Bombyx mori: one gene and its partners. The main gene of each other region encodes a partner of the protein of the gene in region 3 in a complex. Links are inferred from orthologs where the notes say so. Each region holds a gene or a part of one and is shown on either strand. Other genes may lie near its edges.

What was found. Proteins that work in one complex are often made in the same cells at the same time.
Region 1: the proteins of protein unc-80 homolog (region 3) and sodium leak channel NALCN are in contact, whole or in part, in a cryo-EM structure (PDB 7SX3), measured with the Homo sapiens proteins. The link is inferred for Bombyx mori from reciprocal best matches to the Homo sapiens genes UNC80 and NALCN. Residues at the interface, in NP_115893.1 of Homo sapiens: Lys1979, Asn2004, Glu2005, Cys2006, Asp2007, Leu2128, Arg2129, Leu2130, Pro2131, Pro2134, Arg2135, Ile2138, Asp2139, Phe2142, Phe2145, Ser2146, Glu2179, Asp2184, Glu2185, Met2187, Leu2188, Asn2191, Asn2194, Ile2198, Leu2199, Glu2202, Ser2226, Leu2227, Ser2228, Gln2231; in NP_001337678.1 of Homo sapiens: Asn639, Met643, Val644, Ile646, Lys648, Leu649, Pro650, Phe653, Val655, Pro656, Lys657, Ile658, Arg659, Glu660, Phe662, Met663, Lys664, Gln665, Phe666, Ile667, Arg669, Val711, Ser713, Arg715, Ala716, Arg717, Leu719, Lys722, Glu723, Ala725.
Region 2: the proteins of protein unc-80 homolog (region 3) and protein unc-79 homolog are in contact, whole or in part, in a cryo-EM structure (PDB 7W7G), measured with the Mus musculus proteins. The link is inferred for Bombyx mori from reciprocal best matches to the Homo sapiens genes UNC80 and UNC79. Residues at the interface, in NP_780719.2 of Mus musculus: Gln23, Thr24, Trp27, Ser31, Leu34, Arg35, Pro36, Ala80, Pro83, His84, His87, Ser94, Asn95, Asn180, Ala183, Leu187, Phe190, Leu191, Arg337, Leu340, Gln341, Pro342, His343, Arg1317, Asp1320, Glu1321, Asp1324, His1545, Val1546, Asp1547; in XP_030102533.1 of Mus musculus: Thr120, Tyr123, Ser127, Ala130, Thr131, Leu168, Ser169, Ser172, Met175, Ile176, Gln179, Tyr180, Tyr207, Tyr211, Gly212, Pro213, Ser214, Val390, Cys391, Glu394, Glu402, Phe405, Arg472, Cys541, Asp917, Phe920, Ser965, Glu966, Phe967, Ser968.

The regions. Positions count from the first base shown.
Region 1 is NC_085110.1:9,105,342-9,108,993, forward strand, and holds part of sodium leak channel NALCN, read right to left. Parts: coding exon 3,521-3,652; intron 3,034-3,520; coding exon 2,801-3,033; intron 2,595-2,800; coding exon 2,472-2,594; intron 2,395-2,471; coding exon 2,179-2,394; intron 1,851-2,178; coding exon 1,671-1,850; intron 1,164-1,670; coding exon 1,043-1,163; intron 144-1,042; coding exon 12-143; intron 1-11. UniProt on the Homo sapiens protein: Voltage-gated ion channel responsible for the resting Na(+) permeability that controls neuronal excitability. NALCN channel functions as a multi-protein complex, which consists at least of NALCN, NALF1, UNC79 and UNC80.
Region 2 is NC_085113.1:1,066,789-1,070,440, forward strand, and holds part of protein unc-79 homolog, read right to left. Parts: intron 2,090-3,652; coding exon 1,948-2,089; intron 1,660-1,947; coding exon 1,441-1,659; intron 1-1,440. UniProt on the Homo sapiens protein: Auxiliary subunit of the NALCN sodium channel complex, a voltage-gated ion channel responsible for the resting Na(+) permeability that controls neuronal excitability.
Region 3 is NC_085112.1:7,810,073-7,814,192, forward strand, and holds the start of protein unc-80 homolog, read right to left. Parts: upstream 2,895-4,120; 5' UTR 2,401-2,894; intron 2,105-2,400; 5' UTR 2,104-2,104; coding exon 1,966-2,103; intron 1,604-1,965; coding exon 1,577-1,603; intron 1-1,576. UniProt on the Homo sapiens protein: Auxiliary subunit of the NALCN sodium channel complex, a voltage-gated ion channel responsible for the resting Na(+) permeability that controls neuronal excitability.

The sequences.
Region 1 (3,652 bases), on a different chromosome or scaffold from region 3:
TTGTTTCTTACAATGTATATAAAGACATCTAACACGGCAGCGGCATCTTTGAGGTAAGCCTTGGGTGTGAAAAACAATCCATCGGCCAAAATCTTCAAAGCCAATTCGAGGCTCATGAAAATCACGAAGCCGTATTCTGCAATCTGCAAAGATTTAATGTTCAATAAATTAATTATTATTAGTCGAATTACTTACCTAATGAATGAAAATATTTTATTTTTATGAGATTATTTTCTCGGAACTATAGTAGTACATTGTGCACCAAGGGAGAAAAGTTCGACATTTCCTGAGATGTCCTACTTTATTCCCACGGTGCACATACTATTTTTTCTCCTACCAGGCCGAAAGTTCGACATTGTAAAAAACTTAGCACCCGTGGTGTACCGAGCCGGGGTCAAGGGGCGAAGCCCTGGTGGCGTCCTGGGGCGTAGGCCTGGCGGGGTGTTGGGGGGGGTGCGGAGCCCCCCATACTCATAAAAAAAACAATTTAACTGTTTTTAAATAAACTACTACTAATTGAATAAGAACTGTCTGATGAACTCATCTTTGTTTAATACAATACTTCACTATTAAATTTTACTGCCTTTTGTTTATTTCACTTTTACACTAAACACAATATTGCAAATTACCCGAGCACAACAATGGCGGAGAATTTACGCGCATGCGCACTTCTCAGTACCCAGGGAGAAAAAGTTAGACTTTCTTCAGTTTTTTCCCTGTACAGCGGGACGAAAACCGAACTTTCGGCGTCGGTAGGAGAAAAAACTTATTGTTTATTCGTATTTATTTCTAGATAATTGTTACAGCAAATTTACCAGGACAGTAATTGCACTATATCGAGGGGTGAAAAGCTAATTTGTTTAAGCGACAGTTTTGCAATTTTACAGGAAAGCCTTAAAGCATAACAAAAAACTTCAGTTATTTGTAAACTCTCAATCGAAGTTTAATTAAAAACAAATTGCTGATGCTAATACCAAATTATTCAATCGATGGCTAAGAAGTTTCACTTAATTAATCGTACCAGTTTCCCAATGAAACTCACTTGTAAAACGAAGTTTTCCATGACTCTGTACGTGGGTGTTTCGAACATCATAGATAAACACGACAACGTCGTCACCATGATCATTACCCAATCCATGTAAGTTACTAAGCCGAGGAAATTACTGAAATTATAACAAGGTATTATAGATAGGAAATGTGTTTGTTTGTATTGCCTTTTTTTCACACGCCAGCGGAGTTAGAATCGACATGGTCTTATGCAAAGTAGTGGTTTTTAACAGGCCTGACATATTAAGCTATTTAGTTATTATTTTTTGACAATTTGATTTCTTACTTCATTCATTTCATACTCTAGTTTTGCCTGAAATCAATTATTTATATTTCACTAATTTAAATGAACGGTTCAGTACATTTTTCTTCTCTCGGTTTCAATTTCAATTTAGTTTCAATAAAAAATGATTGTCAACAGTTTTTGCCTATTGCTCCAAAGACAATTTTCTATAACAAAATGAAACAGAAAATAAATATAAATCTTGAGATCTCAATGATTAGGGTCGATTTTCGACAACTGTGTGTACTCTAGTTATTATGACAAACAGACTTTCTACTGTGGAATTTTTTTGTATAATATGGTCTCTCAAATTAATCGAAAAGTCATTATCGACACTTACTGAAAACTTTTGTAGTGCACTTTCCTTTCATTGCCAGTAATTGGATCTCGAAGTCTCGCGTCATACCGTGCGTCGACAATGGCTCGACAAATCTTTCGAAATCGTGACTCTCTAGGCACTATTAGCAGCGGCGTATCAAACAACGGGTGATTTTCGCGGAGGTCTTCTTCACGTTGATTTCTGGAATATATTGTTTAATTTAAAAAATGATCTAATTTAAGAAATGTCTGTTTCCTGAGCAGTCGTAGATACTTTGACTGGTGGTAGGACCTCTTGTGAGGCCGCACGGGTAGGTACCACCACCCCGCCTATTTCTGCCGTGAAGCGGTAATGCGTTTCGGTTTGAAAGGTGGGGCAGCCGTTGTAACTATACTGAGACCTTAGAACTTATATCTCAAGGTGGGTGGCGCATTTACTTTGTATATGTCTATGGGCTCCAGGAACCACTTAACACCAGGTGGGCTGTGAGCTAGTCTACCCAACTAAGCAATAAAAAAAAAGTAGGTACCGTCGCATTTCGGCCTGTTGCCTCTTGGCTTGCAGCAAGCGGATGTCGAGGTATGGCGGGCGCGCTCGCGACGAGGGCACGACGCGCGACGCGGCGCCGATGTCGCCGTTCTCTAACAAATGCTCATAGGTCTGCTTCAACTTGATGGATCCGCTTCGGACCGACCGTCTTATCGAACGCGAGCCGAACCTACGCAGTAAGTTTTCCAATTTTACTCTACAAATACACAATAAAACAAATTTGTAAAATCATAACACGCAAACATATTTATTAATGTGACCTTCGAGGCTTACTTTTTTTGATCGACGCGAAGTTGTTTCGCACTGGATATAGTGCCTTGAGGTTTCAGACCTGACTTCCCTCCGGTCGCTAACATTGCAGAGTCTCCCAGTAGCGGTCGGTGATTATTGGAGTCCCTAAAATTAAAGTCGGATTGGAGCATTGTTTTCAAATAAATATACAGCAAAAATTAAAAAACAAAAAAGCTAAAAACCTTTTTTTAAATAATACTCGGAACGAAAACTAAATCTGCAAAAAAAAAAAGAAAATCAAAATATAATAAACCGATGACGGCATAAAGCTAAAAATCGAAAATAAGTTAACATCAAAGAAATCGACGAACTCTATAATGGAGGTGACGACGTGTCTCCGCAGCGCCGAGCTGGGTCGCTGCGAGGGCGGCGCCACCACCAGCGTCTTGACGAGGCAGCGCTTGCGGTACGGGAAGGCGATCTTGGCGACGCTGATGTACTCGAAGGTGCGGCGGGACAGGTCCGCGCCCCCCGGCCCCGCGCCCCCCGCCTCCTCCTCGCCCTCCACCTCGCACACGAACTGCCGCATGAACGACTCTCGCACCTGGAAACGACACGACGACTCTGCTATTTATATTTCTGTATCAAAGAACAAGCCACGATTCACTCGATATTGAGTAGTACATAAAGCCCACATACTAGATACGAATACCTGATTCAATACATTACAGGATGCTATTTCCTTGGCAATCGTTTGTCAACACGTACTAGTTACTATTACACCGGGCGTTTTACTGATTAAGTCACGGACTCGTCTACTGAACTATTACTACCAATCTGATTTAGCGCCCATTAGAGTTCTACGCTCCCCTTAATTTCCTTCGTGGCTGTCCACATAATTCCTTTTCAGTAACCATACTAAAAATTGTTGAAAACATTTCGACTTTCCCTAATACCTATTATATATTTACATTTTGAAGGGCTATCAGGGTTAACAGTAGACAGCTGGTCAAAAACAAACCCAAAACAAATATGCCGTGGGAATAGGGTGAGAAAATTTTATAATGTCCGATAATATATAAACTGTTTACCTTTGGTAAATTAAAATCCCCAGGGACTTTGTGTAGCTTCGTCATCTGCGGACTGTCGGGGAACTTTTCGAATATTCTCAATCTAAACGGCAGGCTCTCTTTGATTTCGGCGCTCTGCTGTCGGTACTTTAA
Region 2 (3,652 bases), on a different chromosome or scaffold from region 3:
TAATGAAAGGTCATTGGAACGTTTAGTGGTTCAAGGAAGAGTAGACGGTCAACGGTCGACGCTCTCGCGGCCGATCATCCACAAGGTGGACAGACTTGGTTAAGTTATCTACGAAGTGTTCCCTTACTGAATGCACGCGTACCGCCACAAATAGAGAAAGATGGAGAAGTCTCTCAAAAGCCGCAACCAAACATTAAGACATACGTAACCACGACCACTCGCCAGGAGTGTACGACTGAGAAGAAGTATAATAAATGACTATTTTAAATTTTAAATATAAAATCACTTTTACGTTTTAATGACACGTTTATCATTTTCCATTTTACTTTTTCCGACCTGCTGAATTATTTACGTTTATCATAAAGTCTACTAAAAATAATAAAAGCGAAATTGAATCGTTAAATCGGTAAATTAGTTTTAATTAAGTTTATACATACGGTGCTATAAATTAACTATGCATTTTTTGTTAAAACTGAACTGAGTATGAGAAAATATATTTTTTAATAGTTATCAGTGAGATGTTTGCTTTTACTGATTTTACTGAAGTTTAAATTTTTTGTTTAAATGTTATCGTTTTTATTTCTTTAGTCTAGCAGAAATATATAAGAACTATATATAATAAGATGTTGAATTTTCCATCATTTCTCCTGAAAAATCACATAATTTGCCTAAGTGACGTTATCGCACCGTATGTGCGATATGATGATGTATGATTTCATACTTTTTTTTTCGTAACTCTAGTCAAATATAAAATACTAGCGACCCGCCCTCGCTTCGCTTCGGAAACATTAAAACACACATGAAACCAAAAAAAAAAAATAAAAAAAAAATTAAAAAAGTAGCCTATGTTCATCAGGGTCAATGTCGGCTTCTAATGGAAAAAGAATTTTTCAAATCGGTCCAGTAGTTTCGGAGCCTATTCGAAACAAACAAACAAACAAATCTTTCCTCTTTATAATATTAGTATAGAAGTACATAGTTCGATTTTCTCGTCTGCTTTACAAACCAATTACGTCTCTTTGTTTAGGAAGTTTTATGTCATTAAATGGTTTCTTGAATTTTTATTTGAAACTAGTTGACCCGGCAGACTTCGTATTGCCTCAACCAATAAATAAAAAATACAAACTTAAAACAAACAAAACGAATCCGTCCGACGGGGGACACATGAAAGGAAAAACAAAATTGTTATTTTTATTTAATTCCGGGCAATTTCATATTTATTTACCTTGTAAACTTTCTCTGGACTTCCACAAAGAATTATTCAAAATCAAAATTAGCCAAATCGGTCCAGCCGTTCTCGAGTTTTAGCGAGACTAACGAACAGCAATTCATTTATATATATATAAATAGATAGAAGATATCAATAACAAAAGTAAAGAGAAAATGTAGTTATTACATGAAAAAAAAAACAGTATTAGGAAGGGTATCAGTGGTACTGACCAGCTTCGAGGAATGAGCGAGGTGCAACAATGCCGGCAGAAGTTTACACCAGAAGTCGAGCAGCGCATCGGCAGCTCCCAGCTGCTCCAGATAGAGCGTCCACAGCTGGCACAGACACAGCGCCTGACACAGCGCGCTCAACCGGGGCCCGCCGCGAGACTCCGCACGGGACTCACGCGGCTCTACGCGGGACGACTCCGCGTACCAGGACAGAATAGTCTGCACCGGAAGGTTTTTTTAAGGATTGAAGGATACTGGTGGCCTGGAGGCCTTTCCAGTTTCACCAGGACAGTTTTTCAAACCCACCTGGTGTTTAGTGGTTATTGCAGCCCAAAGACATTTAGGTACAACGCAAATACGCCACCCACCTTGAGATATAAGTTCTAAGGTCTCAGTACAGTTACAACGGCTACCCCACCCTTCAAGCCGAAACACATTACTACTTCACGGCAGAAATAGGCGGAGTGGTGGTACCTCACAAGAGGTCCTACCGCCAGTAATGGTTACCTGGATGTGGTCAGTGAGATGGCAGGTGGCGTCGCACGGTATGGTGACCTGCAGTGGCTGCGACCGACTGTTGCTTAGCGCGCCGGCGAGCAGCCACGACACCAGCCTCACCCGGGACACACACTCGCACACGTCGCGGGAACTGAACGTGATACAATTAGATTTGTCTGAATACAATTATTCACTAGGTACAATTTTAGGTTTAGAATTTTTAATTATTCCTACGCGCTGGCGTCCGGGATGAATAAAATTCTACCGAATTACCAGTTATCACTGTATTCAACACTTAGAACACTGAAGCACTTCACAAACACTTTAAAACAGTCAACAAATACTTTAAAACTCTCAATTCGCTTGTTCAGCTTCGCTTCAGGTGATCTGTTCGCTGTTTCGCTTCGAGTATTTCCGATTACTGACTGTGTGCCATCTCTACAACACTTTTATAACCGATACTTCATCCCTAGAATTATGGAGAATATTCCACACATCTCTAGTAGTAGTTTCTGCTATCTGACAATAGATGGCGTTGTACTTCTCGAGCGTTCTAGATGCTACTAGATCCTTCGATATTCGTTCGACTATTCGACGATAGATGGTGCTACTCTTACCGGCGTAACGTTATTATAAAATACTAGCTGACTCGGCTAACGTTGTTTTGCCACATAGAAGAATTCGTTTCTAGAAAAAAAAAATTTTTAATGAACCGTCCTAAACATTTACGGGTATGAAAAATAAATTTTGAACGATTCTCAGATCTACCCGATATGCACACAAGCTTTCACGAGAATCGGTTGAACCATTTCGGATGAGTTTTGCAACAAACACCGTCACACGAGAATTTTATATATAATTGTAAACATCACTTACTTCATAAACACAAATAATAACTCCTTAAAATATATGATTATTTAGTATTTCTAAGGTTTTCATCAACTTTACTCAAATTCGTTGTAGATTTTATGATCCTTATGTATTATTAAAACTCAAAATTTAATGCTACCTGCGGTCATTGTCATTTTTTAAACATTATCATCATTTTTTAAACATTATTTAAGTAGGTAATAATTTCGATGAATTATAGCTACTCTTGAAAGCCTTGGTAAATGGCAGTTTGATTGCTAATCTAAATATAGATGTGTTTTCTAAATATAGTTAAAGCAAAATTTAAAAGTAGCTAAAATATAATATTTTTTTTATCATTATCCCATCATGCTGTTAAGTGCCATTTTGATTGTAATCTAATACATGTAACTAAACAAACGCTTGGTTTTTTTTTCCTAGCTAAGCTGATAGCCTTGAGAGGCTATTTCAGCTTCACCCTAACGTGTAGGTGAGCTCACGTGGCTCAAACCGGGAGTGCTGCTAACACTGGCTCTAGCAAGAGCAGTGCTTCGCAGAATCTACCACCAGATCAGAAACGCGACCCACTGAGAAGACCCGACTAGAAACTCAGTGGGCTGTGTCTATGGGTTAATTGTCGCAAGCGACGGGTTCGGCGACGATGGGACCGGTGCTTAAGGTACCTAAAAGCACCGTTAATGGATCGGGAAGATCCGTAATGACGTGTTTAGGGCGACGTCGACTGTTTACCATTTGATCTACAGGACCGATCCTGTCGATACCCGAGTATGAAAGGCTTGTGTTTTCCTCACTCTGTATCAGAATTTCCTAGATGTACATAACATATAAAAAGAAACATACTAGT
Region 3 (4,120 bases):
CTGTGTTTTTATTTAGGCAACAAAATGCTAACTATACATGTGCAGATTCATAATGATAAATACTAAGTACATAACGAACCAAAAGTGAAGTTATCTACTAGGTGAGGTAACGTTGAAAATATCGACGCTTGAAAGGCAAACGTGACTAAGCGACAATGCGTGAACTTTACAGTAGACTAATTTAAAGTTGAAATACCTGAAAAAAAAAAATTTAAACGAATCTAGCTGTAGGATTGAAATGATTTAAATAGACCTAGAAATATATTTTTTTTGCGCATTGAATATGGTTATTGCCTATCATTTATGTATAAAGCAGTTATTGTCGTTTAGTCACGTTTGCCTTTCAAGCGTCGATATGTTCGAGAATAGCAGAGTAAGTTTAATCATGAGTATGTTTTAGTAATTTAATTTAAGCTTACTGCAACTGAATTGAAACTTCAACAGTTCAATTTCAAGACTCATGGTAGTTATCATTATAGCGTATATTGGATTCGGTAACCACTAATCACTAGATGGGCCGTCTACCTAAGTATGACAAAACAATTCAGACAATATAAGTAGCTTGACGTTTTTGACGCCACCTTTGTTAGGTTAGGGGACATCTAGAGCGACTGCCAATTATTTTACTTTAAAAAAAAAACAAAAGAACGTTTGTTTCACAAACATCGAAATTTCTTCGTACCTATATACACAGTAAGGTGTTAATGCGCCATTGAATGTGCTACCGTTAATTGCAACCATTGTCTATGCTACTGATGGATTAAGATTAAGGATAAGATAAAAGTTCCGAAAATACCTATAGCATAGTCAAGCAAACCAATAGCAAAAATGAAAGCAGTCGTGGAAGTTGTGGTCGTTGGAAGTCGTCATGGCCTAAAGGATAAGACGTCCGGTGCATTCGTGTTGAACGATACATCGGTGTTCGAATCCGAGGCGGGTACCAATTTTTCTAATGAAATACGTACTCAACAAATGTTCACGATTGACTTTCACGGTGAAGGAATAACATCGTGTAATAAAAATCAAATCCGCTAAATTATAATTTGCGTTGTTACTGGTGGTAGGACCTCTTGTGAGTCCGCACGGGTAGGTACCACCACCCTGCCTATTTCTGCCGCGAAGCAGTAATGCGTTTCGGTTTGAAGGGTGGGGCAGCCGTTGTAATTATACTGAGACCTTAGAACTTATATCTCAAGGTGAGTGGCGCATTTACGTTGTAGATGTCTATGGGCTCCAGTAACTACTTAACACCAGGTGGGCTGTGAGCTCGTTCACCCATCAAGGCAATAAAAAAAAAAAGCAGAAACGCGGTGGAAGAACACGGCCTAGAACAATTATCTAGCCCGCAGAACCACTATACTGTACCTAAGTCTCAAACTTAAACAGAGTTTTCTTAAATAACAGTGACGTATTACAAGTAGATGGAGAGCTAACATACTGCTACTGGTAAAATAAAAGCAGACGTGAGCGTTGTTTGTAAAAAAAAATATAGTAATAAAAACACTAGCCCTCATAGATCTCATCATTTAATTAACTAACGTGCATTATTGAACATCTATGCATAACGTGAACTTACATGATGTCCTGGAGCGCGTTGACAGAACTGTTTACGAACAAATAAGTAATTTATATTTAACACATTACAACAGGGTGCGAGTACAAAAAGAAATGTGAACGTAATTTAGCTCGTAGCACTTTGATTCAGACTCAAGCTTGCTGACACTCGACAAGCGGATACGAATCTTAGTTCTAATAAACGTTCATTAAAATTATTATTTCACAATATTAACAAAAACATTGCGTATTTACAAATGCCGTTGATCAAGTAAGGTTGTCTGTAATGCTTTGTTTTCTTTAATTTTTTTCATTGAATTTAACGAAATCATTATTACTTACTTGTTGAATTTAAAAACTGTAAAATTGAAACATCAAAACTGATTTGTTTTTTTAAATTTATTTGCTTACCATGCATGAAGAGTCATGTAATTTTCCAAGACGTGGTCGAACAAAAGGTGTGGTCTGTCTCCATAGAAATATTTGAACTGGTATGGGAATCACCTCCTCACCGTTGCACTCATCTTCTGTCATATCTTTTGATTTCATTCTAATAAAATTATATTTATAAATAATACAATTGGCACTTGCGTAATTGTATAAAAAACGTATTTTTAATATTTTAGGGGTTGATTTTTACAGGTCAAATACGAATAAGTCTATTGCGCAGTTAAAGTTTTATCTCAGGTTCAAATTAATAATTAATGTTCCAAGTAGTAAATATATTTAGAAAAATATAAATTTATTAATAAATACAAAATAAAACAGAGCTTAAATTTAAATTATTGACAAAACCACTTTTCGATAAGTATTTATAACTAAGTACATAAGATCTGTAAAACGTACCTATGTATTTGTCATTAGTGGTCATATTGTTTGAAGAGCACTGTTTACGTTAAAGGCTGGGGTTGGAAACAAAAGTATATTGAGGTACAGCTATGACGGATGACGGAGGGAAAACGCGCACTTTTCCGGAGGGAAGCTCGACGGAGAGTGAGCCTTTGCGCATTCAGGTCGAGCCGAGATTCAGGGCTGTCGATGTTAAGTAAATATTGGTGGATTCTTTTAGTAATTTTATTTAAACACAAATAAATGTTGATTTACTTCGTTTTGGATACTAGTTTTAAGATTTTGTTTTGTATTTTTCGTTGTATTATGTAAATACGTCTTAATTTTTGATGTTTTTCATTTGTTATATACAATAATAGCATATTTTACACAGAATGCTAAGAAGTAAGGAGATCTTTTGAAAATTTTACTTAACTTAATAATTTTGTTTCGTTATATATGAGGCAACCTTATTAAACATTGATCGCTGGTTCTGAATAAGAGGCAGCCTCCGATTGCCATGGTAACGACAAAATGTCTGACACAGAGTACACAGCTTCTATATTATTTTAAGTCTAGAAGTTTTGGAATGATTATTTAGGTACTTGTCGTTTATTTGTATGGCAACTTACATTTGTTTTGTACTTAAATGTTATTACAATTTTCTCTCAAATAAATGATCTATGTAGCCTTGAAAAATACGCATTAAAGCAGTGTATTATACACATAACAATAGGTCCTTATAGATATAACGGTTTCATAAAAAAAAAACGTTTTTTTTTTAATTTACTGAACTGAGTTGAAAACTGCAACTTTCTTAATAATGAAATCATTGAAAGTAAAAAACACGTGAAAGTATACCAGTATTGATGTGTGAGAGTAATAATATATTCCTTAGCTATTTTTCTTTTTAAATCTCTCGCCATTCCTGTATCTGTTTTTCTCTCTTTTAAAAGGCTTTCTCTATTTCTACGGCGAGCCAATTGTCTGTTCTCGTTGGAAGGTTAGTGTGGATAATAGTTAGATGCAATTCAGATTTCGATCCCATGTGTCAAGGAGGGTGATATTCACGCTGTGCTCACGAGCTTATCCGCTCATTTCCGCCAATTAAAATACATTTTTACATAATTTTTGGATAAAATCTTTTGGACCATGGAAACCGAAAAAGGAATATGATTTGGCAAAACTGTTGAGCTTGGTTACTCTATGTTGAAGTTATCTTTTAGAAGAAGTCAAAAAGAGTTTAATTAATTTACTCACAAATCTGTATGTATTTTGCAATAGTATATACAAAGAATCTTAATTAACTTAACAGAATCGTAATAATTATCAGCATTCACACTAACAGCCAATTTGTAAATAGACTAAGGGTGTGGTGGCACACGTTACGACGTTAATAGATAAATGTTGTTCTTTTTATGGTAGTGACCGCATACAACGCGTTTCTATTCAATCGATAACAATTACTAACAGGTTTAATGAAGAAACCTAAACTTATCTTTTATCTAAAAATTAACCAGGTAAGTTTCATTTCCCGTAAACTATTTTTTTTCATTGCTTAGGTGGGTAGAAGAGCTTACGGCCCACCTGATGTTAAGTGGTTACCGGAGCTCATAGACGTCTTCAACGTAAATGCTGCCATCTACCTTGAGATATGAGTTCTAAGGTCTCCGTTTTTACATTACTGCTTCACGGCAGAAATAGGCAGGGTCGTAGCTACCTATGCAGCCTCACAAGA